Elephas maximus indicus: one gene and its partner. The protein of the gene in region 2 purifies or fractionates together with the protein of the main gene of each other region. This does not show direct contact. Links are inferred from orthologs where the notes say so. Each region holds a gene or a part of one and is shown on either strand. Other genes may lie near its edges.

Region 1 (7,047 bases), on a different chromosome or scaffold from region 2:
CCACAAGAATGTGGCAGCCGGATCACTACTGGTATGGTATGGTACATCTTCAGATTTTAGTTTTATGTAAAACTTAACCCAAGAAAACATACTGAAGTGTACATTGTTTTCCATTTACTAAAATGTTCCAAATGCAATGATAGGTATAAAGTATGCCTATCTGAAAAAGAAAAACACAATGCAACTCATAAAATATTTTATAGTTGATAGACAATTTCATACAGCACAAAACAATCAAGAATATGTTGCAGAGCTATAATTAGCATTTTAAAATGAGATCATGTCCCTCTAAATTTGTTTCCCTAATGTAGAGAAACTCTGGCCAACTTTTAACTTGCACTTTTATTTGAAACTTTGAAAACAAACTCCTAACCGTAGTCTACTGGCTTACAAAAGACCATTATTTGAATTTGAGTTAAATTTAGTTAGCATGTACCACCACTGAAAATCAAGGTATTCAAAAAACAAATCTTATTTGAAGACTATAAACAATTACTTACTAGAAAAATTAAGTATGCTTTGGACATATCTTTGAATGGGTCTAGATGGGGGGCGGAGAATTTGAGAATCTCAGGGATAAGGCACTGTCAAACTAAATACGCTTCCTTAGAAATTAGGAACTAATGAAACTCTTGACAAAGGAGGCTGGAAAAAGCTGGAGAATCACTTGTTTAGACTGAGGGCACTTTGAGTAAAGAGAAAGACTGTTTTTAGATTCCTGGTGCCTGGTACAGAGGAAGTCAATAAATGCTTAAGTTAAAAAGGGAAAATGTAACTGGACTAGAATAACACCAAAAGAAAACGAAACATTTAAATTTGCATACACAAAAACAAACGGAATCACTTAGGCTATTTTTTCCACCATCTTTTCTTCCCAATAACCTTGGAAAATCCACTAGTGAAGTTTCCTAAGTATAATCATAAAAAGTGGATCTGACTTAAAAGGTTCCAGTTGAAGCATTTTTAAATGAGCAAATATACTGTATTTTACGCCCATGGAGTATATAAATATATAAGTAAATAAACATATAAAGAAGTTGAGATACAAACATCAGATTTTAAAAATATTTAAGTTTACTCGCAAGGTTTAACAGGTACAAAAATAGTGGCAGGCCTAAACGTCCCTAAAGGTTGACAAGATACTAAAATTCTAAAAAACTGTTTTTCCCTCTTACGACAATGCACAATTACAAAATCTATACAATCGTTTTCACAACAAATATCTCACAGTTAAAGACCCAGCAAGATGTTCACGTTCGTGTATGAAGTAGTGAACACTGACTACCGGCACCAGGGGGCCTCCCAGGAATAATTTGATAGTAAAGGAAAAGGTAAGTAAGAGTTCCTGGTAAAACTTTGCTTCCTAGTCAGTCTTAAGACTGTTGGAAGGTTTTTACATCTGGAGCAAATATACTGTATTTGATTACACAACAGGTACACCAGAACTGATGTGGTTTTAGATATCGACAAACTAGATGAAAAAAAGGAACTAGTATCCTCCCCAAATCACACAACCTTCTTTGGTCATTTTCCAAATTTAAATACATACTGCTTCACTGTAGTAAACAATTATATCCAAATAACTGGAAAGCAAATGGCAGTTAATGTATATACAATCCTTTGACTGCACCTGACAAAGAGAACTCTAAATTTTTAAAAAGACCTAATTTCTTTTCTACACACTTATAAAACAACTAGCGATGGCGTAAATTTTAGGGAAAACCAGTCATTGGCAGAAGACTGCGATTAATTTTGAAAATTTTCCTGCAATAAATCAGTTCTTCCCTTTTCCCCAACCCTCCTCCCACCAACATAAAACTATTCAATAAAAACTAGCAGGGCCAGAAACTTAAAATGTGGATAAAACCTGTAAATACCTTTCAAATACAAGAGAAGCTTTACGAAAGACCTTTACTAACTTTGTTCAGAAATTAAATTCCGTTTAAAGCTGTTAAATTCTCAAACCCAAAGCCCAATCCCTTCACAAAACGTATCCACTTTTCGGATTTCTTGCGTGAGTCTTCAACCCGATCAAGGATTTTGTTTTTACATATTTTTAAAAAACTAAATAAAAAATGCTAGGTATTCCCCGCTAATTTTATCCTCTCCTTAAAAGAGTTCGTTCTATAACATCATGTAAACACGCTGAACGGCAGGTTAACAATCATATTAAGAAGATTTTTTAAAATTCACTTCCGGAACAATTTGAGGCAGCAAAGGCCAATGCAGAATAGAAAACACACATTTCACGGACGTCCAATGCACACCAGCACGCATCCTCGCCCCCTCCTTGGAAAGGGTCACCGGAGGCGAGCACAACAGCAAGAACCCAGCAGCCCTTCTCTTCTTAAACGCTGTCTCCCCGCAGACAGACTGCTCACACCCCAGACTAGCGCTCCTGGGCCCCGAAGAAAATTATTCCCAGGAGCCCGACGCGGTGGCCCACGGGGCACAGCCTCCCCCAGCCCCAGTTCTCGGAGACCGCTCCCCCCGCCAACAAGCCTCCTCGCCCCCTCCTCCGCGGATGCCTCGGCTGGTTCGCTCCGCTTCCCTCCGGAGACCCTGCTCACGGGGCGGAAAGGAGGGTCCCCCTCGGGTTTCGGCGGTAAAAGGGGGAGCGAGGGGATGAAGGCGCTGCCCCCTCCCACCAGCCCCGGCCGGCCCGGGCTCCGCACTCACCCTCCAGCAATCGGGTGATGAGACTGTCCACATTCAGCTCCCCGTCCGCCATCTTGTCGGCACCAGACTCTCCTTCCCGGCAGCGGGAACAAGGGCTTCTCGGCGGCAGAGGCTGCGGCGACGGCGCGGCGTTCTCTCACCTACAAGTCACGCGGCGTTTCGACCCCGGTCCCCACTCCCCCTTTACCCGGGCCCTCCCCCCACCCCCTCCCCACCGAGCAGCGAGAGCGCGCGCACACTCGGAGGCACACAAATAAATAAATAAATAAACAAACGGGGCTCCACGAACCGGGCCTCGTAAGACCCAGCCGCCACCTCCTCCTCCTCCTCGGCACCGCCCAACTCAGCAAAGCTCACCAGCGCCGCCAAGGCCCCACCCGCAGCGCCACTCCACACGGCCCTTCCCCGCCGCCGCGCCACGCAGCCGTCCGCGCAGGCGCGCCGCGCACCCCTTCGCGGCTCCCCTCGCCTCCCCGGCCTTGGCGCAATCGCACTGCCCTCAGCTCGCCGCTGCCGTCCCCGCCGTCGCCGCGGTTGCCTTAGCGCAGGTGCGTCGCCCTTTCCCTCCGCTTTTACTGCGCCGAATCGCCGCAGCGGCGCAGGCGCCACGGAGGGTTTGGGGGATTTGCGGCGCCGAGGAAGCTCCCATTACGCAGGGCGTACGTAGGCAGGGTTGGCCTTCGCCCAGCCCTGGCCGGCACTCGGGCTCTTCGCCGCTCCGCAGACGCCGTGGTGGGTCCTTCCCACATCAATTTTGTTTGCTTGGCTTCATTACCTGGTTTTGCAAGCAATTCCTTATGTTTCCGCTAACCGGGAAGCCTAGACTGCAGTAACCCATGTTTGAAGCCCGGGTTTGCGCGTGTCAGAAGCAAGGGGGTGTTACTCTGCTAGAAAGTTTAACGTTGCGCATAAGGGGTCTTGTACATAACTGTTCCACCAGGTTAGGTCCTCAGATGTTCTAGGATGAAGTAAATGTTAAAGTGGGCCCTGGAAGGATTAGCAATAGGAATATATGAGTATCGCTTTCACGTGTCTTACATCACCCTGTGGATACTATTTTTCCACAATGCTTTTTTGTTCATACCTCCATTCATTTGCTTAATCATCCTACGTTATAGTTGTTTACGCATTTATTTCCTACACTCGACGCTAAGCTCCTAGAGAGTAAAAACATCTATGTTTGTGTCTGGCCCATAGAAGAGAGGGAGAAGGAGAAATACGGAAGTTCAGCTGTTCTTTCCATCACATAAAACTGCCTTTACAAAAGCAGGAGGAAGAGCAGCTACGCAAAGGATCTAGTTAACTTAGAGTTTTTGGCCTGTTCTAGGAGATGGCCGGATCATCTTTACTCATTCCTCAGGTGTTTTTCCAAAATTCAGACAGATTCTGCCCTAAGCTAAAGGCAGTGCTTCTCCCACCCACGTATCACTAATAATAGCTAACACGTATTGAGATACCTGTATGTACTTGACACTATTTTAAGTGTTATACATTCCTTATCTCATTTAATATTTACATCTGTGTGAGATAGGTACTACTACTCTCTTCATTTTGTAGGTAGGATTAGTTGAGGCACAGAAATGGTTAGATACCTAGCACTAAATCATACAAGTAAGTGAATTAATGGCAACACTGGGATTCAAGCCCAGGCATCTAGAGCCAGAGCCTGCACGCTTAATTGTTGTAATGTGTGTGTGTGAGCTGTACATGAGCTGAGCTGCTTAAGCGTGTTTGTGCTATGTCATAATCTTAGATAGTAGAAATCAAAAGTTTTAGAGAAAAGCACCATCCAACCATGTATTTTGTAATGGTCCAGGTGACTTACAGAGCTTGCATTTCCTAATACCTTTTTGTCCCCCCTAGCTTTCTCTTCCTTCGTTTTAGAATATAGCTTGTACATTGTGATCATAGGAGAACAGGTAGCAAGCTGTAGTGGAGGTCCTGTCTGGAGCAGCCTTCACAAACTCAATGCCACCAGATGGAAATGAAGAAATGGCTCCTCGTCACTCTATGTTGAAACCCTGGTGGCGTAGTGGTTAAGAGCTACATCTGCTACCCAAAAGGTTGGCGGTTTGAGTCCACTAGGTGCTCCTTGGAAACCCTGTGGGGCAGTTTTACGCTGTCTTATAGGGTCACTATTACTCAGAATCGACTCGACAGCAGTGGGTTTGGTTTTTGGTTTGGTTTGTTCTAGAAGAAAGGATTTAATGTAGCTTATATATTTGTGCAGCAGGATAGATTAAAAAATAAGTACAGATTAAAATAAAGAGCCCTGGTGGCACAGTGGTTAAGAGCCCAGCTACTAACTGAAAGGTCAGCAGTTCAAACCCACCAGCTGCTCTGCAGGAGAAAGATGTGGCAGTGTGCTCCCGTAAAGATTTATGCCCTGAAAATCCTAGGGCTGTAAATCTTTACGGGCCTTTCTACTTTGTCCTACAAGATCGCTATGAGTCAGTTGACTGGATGGCAATGGGTTTGGTTTGAGTACGGAGAAAAATAGGACAAAATAAAACCAGGAGTGGCAGTTTTGTATGCAAAATGCATGGTGTAAGGTTTGCTACAAAGAGGCCACAAATATGACTCTAAGCTCTCCAGCAACCAAAGAAAAGATCAGTTACAAGTGGAGTAGGTGTTTTGGCTATGTTGGAACTATGACTTGAAATCACTTGTGGAGTTGGGTGCCACTTCCCTGAATCTGTTCCGTGAGCCTCTTTAAGAGTTACAGAATGCTCGGGAACACTTATTCTGCAGTTTTCATGGGGTCCCTAAATTCCATGAACAAAAACTTTGAACCTTATCTATGGTTGTGGTTCAAATATATGCAGACGTATGTAAAAGACAAGGGATACCCAAAGTAAACTGAATTGAACAGAGAGAAAGTGAAATTCTGAGAGAAAGTCACCATGGGTAGAGCAGAAGAGAGGCCAGTCTCAGCATAGAGTTCTGGGGGTCAGAAGGAATTGGAAAGTGGTTCTCAGTATTGTCTGCAGATGTCCACTTCTCTGCCTCTCACCCCCAGGTTTTCCACTGCTTTGGAATCCTGGGAAAGAAAAAGCAATTATAAAAATGAAAACTATATCACTAGGGTCTCAACCAACTTTTCTGTGGGATCTCTCTCTCAAAGAACTATAAAAGAACTTAGAGCTCTTCAGATTTTTAAGGTAAACTGGTACATGTTCTATATGTTACTTCATATCCCAGCAGCTTAAAGCAAATCACGTGAATATTAACATCAAGTAAGATAAATAAACACTACAAATAACTTCACAGCTGTTCGGGTCATACTTGCCACTATAGTATCTTTTTTTTTTTCCTTTCTTTTATCCAGAGTGAAATATGATTGCTGAAGGAAATTTGGAAAGTGAAAAAACAAAAACAAAAACACCTCTTCTCTCACCACCCACAAATAACCATTTTCCAGTATTATTTCTGAATGTATGTAATACATATATATCTTCCAGATTCTGTGTTCAGTAACATCATATTGATTACTTGAAATTTGCCACAGTGGAAATATTTACACCAATGAAATCAATAAATGCTACAAATCATAGCTTTTCCCTCTAGAGAGACAAATGTTAAACATTTATCAGCACATGCCTGGGTATAGGAAGACATTTGGGTCACACATGTCAGTATCCTTGTGTAGTTACAGAAATGTTTGGGGAAGGAACCCCTTGATCTTCACTTGAACTTCCTGATAGAGGTCTGGAGTATCATGATTTGGGGGTCTTATTAAAAATGTGATCTTATTTGTACTTACAGGTAATGCCTGGGACATGCTGGCGCCCATTATATAAAGTCAGTACTTAGAGGAACCCAACGATCACTGTACTGAGACCAGAGAGATGTCCCTATGGAAGTTCAAAAAGAAAGCACCACGGAACACAGTGAAGAGCAGCCTCGTAACTTCTTGTAGTAAAGATAGTAAAGACTTTCATAGAGGTATTTTTCTTATAATGTCTCTCAGTATTGGCCAACATGATGTGGAGGTAAGTAGGGTTAGGTGGCAAAATGCAGAGGTTGTGATATACAGCTTTTTAGCTGCCCTGCTTAATCCAAGATAGCTTTTAAATGAATGAATGGGAATTCACTGGACTGTCTTCCAGTAAATATTCCCCTCAATCAAGTCTTTAATAAGTCTTAAGTGACTATTTCTAAAATTTACTAAGTGTACCTGGAGGGCAACCATTCTATATAGCAAATATCATAGGCTTTTGTAGTCAGCTCAACTAAAGAAAGTTGAGAACCCAGACAGGGACACATGCATCAGTAGGAGGCCACGAGCTCAGTACAGAGGTGGGCTGAGGGAGTTTATCCTGGCAGGGCTAAGATTTTTCCTTAAGATTTAGTTCTGGGTTCATTTCA
Region 2 (8,018 bases):
GCTTTTGAATTATGGTGCTGGCAAAAAATATTAAATATACCATGGACCGCCAGAACAAACAAGTTTATCCTGGAAGAAGTACAGCCAGAATGCTCATTAGACGCGAGGATGGTGAGGCTTCGTTTCACGTACTTTGGACATGTTAGCAGGAGGGACTAGTCCCTGGAGAAAGACATCATGCTTTGTAGAGGATCAGCAAAAAAGAGGAAGACCCTCAACGAACGGGAGTGACACAGTGGCGGCAACAATTGGTTCAAACATAGCAACCACTGTGAGGGCAGTGCAGGACCAGGTAGTGTTTCATTCTGTTGTACACAGGGTCGATGTATCAGAACTGACTCAACAGCACCTAATGAAAAGTTTAATTTTTGCCTATCCTTACCTTCACAAAAAAAATGAACTCATACAGTGTATACTCTTGTATCTGCCTTCTTTCAGTCAAAAATATATTTTTGAGATCATCCAAGTTATTGTAGTATTTATTAGTAGTTCATTCTTTCTTTATTGTTATGTAGTATTCCTTTCACAAATGTGCCACAGTTTACTTATCCGTTCTTCAGTTGATACCTGGGTTGGTTCCAATGTTTAGCTATTATGAGTAAAGTTGCTGTGAACATTCTTACATATGTTTAGTGAACATATGCACTCATTTCTCTTGAGTATGTATCAACGAGTGGAACTGATGGGTCACAGTGTAGGCATAAGCTTATCTTTAGTATATGCTGCCAGTTTTCCTAAGTGGTTGAATCAATTTATACTCTCAGCAGCAATGAATGAGGTTATCTACATCCTTGCAAACTCTTGGGAATTGTCAGTCTTTTTAATTTTAACCTTCTAGCAGGTTTTTTTTTTTTTTTTAGCAGGTAGGCAATAGTTTCTAATTATGATTTTAATTTGCATTTCCCTGATAAGTGATGATGACACTTTTTTATATGCCTAATAGCAACATGGATATCATCTTTTGTGAAGTACCTGCTCAAATTTTTTGCCTATTTCTAAATTCAGTTCTTTTACTCTGCAGAATTACTTGATGTACTCTGAATATTAATCAGATATATATGTATTGTAAACATCTTCTCCCAATCTATGGAGTTCCTATTTACTTTCTTAATGATGTCTTTTAACAAAAAAAGTTCCTTATTTCAATGAAGTCCAATTTCTCTGTGTTTTCTTTTATGGTTAATGCCCTTTGTAGATGTCTATCCTTTTCTTATAAGAAAACTCTAAAAAAAATTTTTTTAAAAATTACCTTTGCTTATCTCTAAACTATATTTGGGGTGGCTCACAGTAAGATCAGATACAACAAAAGCCACAAACCCATTAAAAGTTAGCAATGACAGAAGTCCTAGGCTACAGGAAGCTACTGAACTTGAGTCTAAAATTTAGTTATGAGTTTCTTGACAAAAATGTTCTATTTTTTTCTTAAAGTCATCAAAAAAGATCAGCCTTAAACCTGAAGAGTTTCTTGAAGTTATAAAAAGGCGCCACTTCTTATGTAGTTACAAGTTCATAAAAGGGGCAAAGGATTAAGAATCATGGGTAAATTTGAAAGCTACTTATATTTAGTTTTGAAATGTACTTTCACGTGGATGAGGCTAATGTGAAATTTATAACATTCCAAAAACTGAAATTCAATGGTGGAGTAATAAATGATAATACCAATAAAGAAGTTAAAAAAAAAAAAAAAGACTAGCAACTGCTCCTTGTCAACCTTATTCTCATCCATGAGAATTTTAGGATTTATTGTAGGATAAGCCCGTTCAACAGCAATTGAGAATCCTTGGTACAAAAACAGATGCAAATTGTTCACTCTACTCATGGAAAAAATAATACTCAAAAGACAGTAGAAAGATGAAGACTTCACACTTTCTCAAAGACTGAAAAATGTATTTTGTATGTTCCACCTTTCTGTTTTGCCTTGTCTAAACAAGTGATACAAATCTGTATTCTGACAATATTCCACAAATACTAAAGGACCTTACCATAACAATTACTTCTACTTCACAACATCATAAACTATTATTATAGCCACGTGATAGCTAGGGAAACTGTGACATACAAAGAGGAAGCAACCTGCCGAAACTCTGAGTCACTGGCAAGCAAGAAGACATGTTCTACTCAACTCTCTTCATGTTCTCTGGCAACTATTTCTTTTCCTCTTGTCATTAGCAAAACATGCTGGCACCATGTATGTAAACATACCTACTAATTTTTTAACTTTTTACATTTCCTGAGTAGGAAATGTAAATGGAAAAAGATCCCTTAAACAGTGTTCCTTTCAAGAATGAGCACATATCCACACTTAACCCCTGCTAGGTAAGCTCCTCCCCTCATCCCAATTTCTTTAGCTAAAAATTTTCAAGCCCAACAAAATGAGACAGTTCCTCGCAGTCTTCCAATCCAGAATCAATCTTCTCCTTAAACAGATAATCTCTTTCCAACGTTCTGCTTTTCTAATGACAGCAGTTGCCCGGACCCACCCCACACAGTCCTCACAGGCTCCAGAAGCAGCTGCCACTTTTCTCTAAACACCAATCGCGGCCCCGGTTCCCAGCCCCCGGCCCCCGGCTTCCGCGCTCCCCGCCCCACCAACCTACCCCCACCCCCGCCCGCTGCCTCAGGCCCTCCCCCCGCAGCGTCGGCAGCTCTTGCTCACCTCGGCCCCTGACAGGAAGGGGTGCGAGGGCCCTGTGATCGTCAGGTAATTGTCATTTCCTCCGGGAAACTGGAAACCAAAAGAAAGCCGCGGGGATAAGTTAGCGGGAGCAGGGAGGAGCTTGGAGCGACGTATTCTGACCCCGACCTTCTGACAACACTCCCCAAACCCGGCTGTCTCTCTCCTCCCCCGTCAGCCGCCTCTCCGCCCGGCCTCTCGCCTCTGCTTCAACCCCGTCGGCCGCGTTCTCTCGCCAGCCTTCTTAGCGCTCGGGTTCCTACCTCCATCTTCACACAACAGCTACCACCGCCTTACTCCCCTCATTGCTCCCACCGCCCCTACTGGACTCGGAACTTACGTCACTTCCGTAAGGATGTGCGTCACTCTTTGCGGCAGCCAGTCAGGCCTAGCAAGGCCGAGCGTACGGAGAGGCTAACGCTCGCCCCCTGGAGCTAGGTGGAGTAATGGCATGTGGAGGTGCTAGAGGCGTCTTTGGAGGCGGCGTTGGAGTGTTTCCGCCGCTCCGGATCGAGAGAGGTTTTCTGAAGAGAACAGGAATCAGGCCACTTTTGGAAAACTGAAAGTGATTTAATATGGCTGGAGCATGGAGTTCGAAGCGTGGCAAGAAGTAAAGCTAGAGAAAAAATTAGGTACCAAGTTTTAAAACACCGGAAGGCCCGTTGCTGTCGAGTCCATTCCGACTCAGCGACCCTATAGGACAGAGTAGGACTGCCCATAGCGTTTCAAGGAGCGGGATCGTGGATTCGAACTGCCGACCTTTATGCTTAGCACTTAACCACTCTGCCAGCAAGGCTCACCTGAAGGAAATGTTGAGCAAATGACAAGTTTTAAAACCGAGAAGTGTAGTGATCAATCAAGTTTTCCCCAGAGTCCGACAGAGGACATGTTTCTTTCAGAATTCTGTTCTCTGTACCAAGAGAATACGACAGCTGGATAGAAAATATGACAGTTGGATAGAAAATCTATACAAATTGTAGAGTCTTTGAGTGCATAACTAGAGGAAACTGCATAAAGGGAGACAAAAGCTTTATTTTCAATTCTAACCTGTTGAAATTCTATTCCTACTCTAGGGGGAAAAAAGATTTAGCAACTTTTTTTCAGTAGCTACCACTCGATACTTCATGAAGCAATCTAGAATAGTACGAAGTGATTCTTGTATCTTCCTTAACTGCAGCACCTTAGAGTTGAGATATTTTGGATATCTCTGCGTACCTATGTGAGACACTGAACAAGTGTATATCAACCCTTTAGCATAAGCCGTATTAGTGCACTTTCTTGCAAATCAGAATTCCTCATGCTATGTGCAAAGTACTGTATGAAGATAGAAAGTAGGCCAAGTTGTCTGACTGTGGCCAAGAATTTTTCATGTAACTGACCTTCAGTTTTTAATTCTTGAGACAAGGTGAATGCCAGGTAAACCAAAAGACTTATTCAGACTGCCAATTTCCATACTCCTATTTTTTATTCAAGAGACTACTTTCCAATGAACTATGGGAGTTATTAAACATCCGAAGTATATCACTCTTGACAACCTAATTCTCAGATAGGCTTCTTTCTCAAACAAAAAGTTCTAGAGGTGCAAAATATATAGTTTCATGTAGGAGGACTAGAGAGTAACTCTAAAAACACATCAAGAAATATTTTCAAAATTTTTAGGTATTTTTTTGAAAAAGTTACAAAATTAACCAATGGAACAGAATTGAGAACCCAGATGTAAATCCATCCATCCATGGACAGCTGATCTTTAACAAAAGGCCAAAGTTCAGGAAATGGAGAAAAGATAGTCTCTTTAACAAATGGTATTGGCAAAACTGGATGTCCATTTGTAAAAAAAAAAAAAAAAAACATGAAGCAGGACCCATACCTCACACCACACAAAAACTCACTCAAAATGGATCAAAGAGTCAATTGGCAAAATAATTCTATTATGAAAACATTCTGCATCCCACTTTGAAATGTGGCTTCTGGGGTCTTAAAAGCTAACAAGCGGCCATCTAAGATGCATCAATTGGTCTCAACCCACCTGGAGTAAAGGAGAATGAAGAACACCAAGGTCACACGACAACTAAGAGCCCAAGAGACAGAAAGGGCCACATGAACCAGAGACCTACATTATCCTGAGACCGGAAGAACCAGTTGGTGCCCGGCCACAATCGATGACTGCCCTGACAGGGAGCACAATAGAGAACCCCTGAGGGAGCAGGAGATCAGTGGGATGCAGACCCCAAATTCTCATAAAAAGACCATACTTAATGGTCTGGATGTGACTAGAGGAATCCCGGCGGTCATGGTCCCCAAACCTTCTGTTGGCACAGAACGGGAACCATCCCCGAAGACAATTCATCAGACATGAAAGGGACTGGACAGTGGGTGGGAGAGAGATGCTGATGAAGAGTGAGCTAATTATATCAGGTGGACAGTTGGGACTGTGTTGGCATCTCCTGTCTGGAGGGGGGATCGGAGGATAGAGAGAGTTGGAGGCTGCCAAAGTTTTCACGAAAGGAGAGACTGGAAGGGCTGACTCATTAGGGGGAGAGCAAGTGGGAGTAAGGAGTAAGATGTATATTAACTTATATGTGACAGACTGACTTGATTTGTAAATGTTCACTTGAAGCTCAATAAAAGTTAATTTAAAAAAATGGATCAAAGATCTAAATATAAAACCTAAAACTATAAAGATCACGGAAGAAAAAATAGGGACAACACTAGGGGCCCTAATGTATGGCATTAATAGAATACCAAACATAACTAAAAATGCACAAGCAACAGAAGATGTGCTAGATAAATGGGACCTCCTAAAAATGAAACACTTATGCTTATCAAAAGACTTCTCCAAAAGAGTAAAAAGAGAACCTACAGATCAGGGAAAAAATTTTGGCTATGACATATCCGACAAGAGTCTAATCTCTAAAATTTATTTTAAAAAACTTCAACACCTTAACATCAAAAGGACAAACCAATTTAAAAAATGGGCAAAGGATATGAACAGATACTTCACCGAAGAACACATTCAGATGGCTAACAAACACATGAAGAAATGCTCTCCATCATTAGCCATTAGAGAGATGCAAATCAAAACTACAGCGAGATACCATCCCACCTCAACATTACCAGCACTAATCAAAAAAACAAAATAACAAATGTTGGAGAGGTTGTAGGAAGATTGGAAGTCTTATACACTGCTGGTGGGAATGTAAAATGGTACAACCACCATGCAAAATGATATGGCACTTCCTTAAAAAGCTAGAAATAAATAAAAAGTTCCAGATGTGCAAAAATATATATTGTTTCATGTAGGGGGACTACAGAGTGACTCCAAGAAGACATCAAAATTTTTAGATATTTTATGAAAAACTTAACAAAATTAACCAATGGAACAGAATTGACAACCCAGATTTAAATCCATCCACCTATGGACAGCTGATCTTTAACAAAAGGCCAAAGTTCATTAAACGGAGAAAAGATAGCCTCTTTAACAAATGGTGCTGGCAAAACTGTATGTCCATTTGTAAAAAAAAAAATTAAACAGGACCCATACATCACACCACAGAAAAACTGACCGGCAATCCCACTCTTAGGTATACACCCTAAAGAAATAACAGTCGTGACACAAATAGACATATGCACGCTTATATTCATTACAATATTATTCATAGTAGCAAAACGATGGAAACAACCTAAGTGCCCATCAACAGATGAATGAATTAACAAACTGTGGTACATCCATGCAGTAGAATACTATGCAACAATAAAGAATAATGACAAATCTGTGAAACATCTCACAACATAAATGAATTTGGAGGACATTATGCTGAGTGAGGCAACCCTGCTGGTGTAGTGGTTAAGAGCTACGGCTATTGGGCAAGGGGTCGGCAGTTCGAATCCACCAGGCAGCCTTGGAAACCCTGTGGGGCGGTCCTACTCTGTCCTATAGGGTCGCTGTCAGTCGGAATCCACCCAATGGCAAAAGGTTTGTTTTTTGGTTTTTATGCTCAGTGAAATAAGTCAATCACAAAAGGACAAATGTTGTATGAGATCACTATTATAAAGAAACAAGAAAGGTTTACACACGGGAAAAAAAATTCTCTGGTGGTTACCAGGAATGGGTGGGAAAGGGAGGGAAAATTACCAAAGAGATGGAAGACATGTCTTAATATTTGTGAAGGGAAAGGCAATACACAATATGGGGGAAGTCAGCAAAACATGACCAAGGCGTGGGAGGACACTGAGAGGAACAAAGGGCAACAACAGTGATTACTGTAGCATAGAAAATCCTGTTAAAATAGCATTAACAAACACTAATTTACAAATGGATACATAGGTAGATAGGTATGACAAGAGGTGTGGGAGGGCATAAGGGAACACATCCACCTGCAGAGATAGGTTTGGTGGTAGATATTTCTACATACATAACTGTAGATGCTGCTTATATAGACAGTAGAGCACACAAGGGCCACAGTCAGGGCAACTTCTTAGACATAACCAAACACCTCATGGGATGAAGCTCCTGGGTTCGAAGGCAAAGGATCATAGACTTAGGGGACATCTACACCAACTGGCACAACATAGTTAATAAAGACAAAGTTCTACATCCTACTTTGGTGCATAGCATCTGGGGTCTTAAAAGCTTGTGAGTGGCCATTTGACATACAGCTATTGGTCTCTTAATATCTGGAGCAAAGGAGAGTGACTAAAACCGAAGACTCAAGGGAGTAATTAAGCCAAAGGACTAATAGACCACATTAACCACAGACTACACGACCCTGAGATCAGAAGAACTAGATGGTGCCCAGCTACCATTTACCTACCACTCTACTGGTATCACAACAGAGGGTTCCACACAGAGCAGGAGAAAAATTGTAGAACAAAAAATCAAACTCACAAAATAAGACTAGACTTACTGGTCTGTCAGACACTGGAAGAATCCCTGAGACTACGGCCCTAAGTTACCCTTCTGAAACAGAACTGAAGACAATCATGGAGACCACCTTTCAGCCAAACCATAGACAGGCCCAAAGAATAAACAATAACACTTGAGAGGAATGTGTTCCCTAGAACAATCTATTATATTAGATTAAAAAGGCAACGTTTGCCCAAAAGCAAAGATAAGGAGGCATGAAGCAACAGCAATTCAAGAAGAAAGGAAACAAGAACCTAGGAGGGAAATGGGGAGAGTGCTGACACATTATGGAGAATTAAATCAATGTCACGCAACACTTGACATTGCACAATAAAAAATTGAAAAAAAAAATTACAAAATTAAATACTGCCTAATCAAATTTCGTTCTGTTGTACATAGGGACCCTATGAACCGACTCAACAGCACCTAACAACAATAACA

The links. Proteins that work in one complex are often made in the same cells at the same time.
Region 1: the proteins of TOX4 (region 2) and PPP1CB purify together in Homo sapiens (affinity purification with mass spectrometry; 5 studies listed by BioGRID and IntAct, with this or other methods). This does not show direct contact. The link is inferred for Elephas maximus indicus from reciprocal best matches to the Homo sapiens genes TOX4 and PPP1CB.

What each region holds. Positions count from the first base shown.
Region 1 is NC_064830.1:47,747,694-47,754,740, reverse strand, and holds the start of PPP1CB (serine/threonine-protein phosphatase PP1-beta catalytic subunit), read right to left. Parts: upstream 3,119-7,047; 5' UTR 3,037-3,118; intron 3,028-3,036; exon of another isoform or gene 2,969-3,027; intron 2,820-2,968; 5' UTR 2,732-2,819; coding exon 2,680-2,731; intron 1-2,679. UniProt on the Homo sapiens protein: Protein phosphatase that associates with over 200 regulatory proteins to form highly specific holoenzymes which dephosphorylate hundreds of biological targets.
Region 2 is NC_064828.1:31,830,930-31,838,947, reverse strand, and holds the start of TOX4 (TOX high mobility group box family member 4), read right to left. Parts: upstream 3,009-8,018; 5' UTR 2,944-3,008; coding exon 2,938-2,943; intron 2,726-2,937; coding exon 2,657-2,725; intron 1-2,656. UniProt on the Homo sapiens protein: Transcription factor that modulates cell fate reprogramming from the somatic state to the pluripotent and neuronal fate. In liver, controls the expression of hormone-regulated gluconeogenic genes such as G6PC1 and PCK1.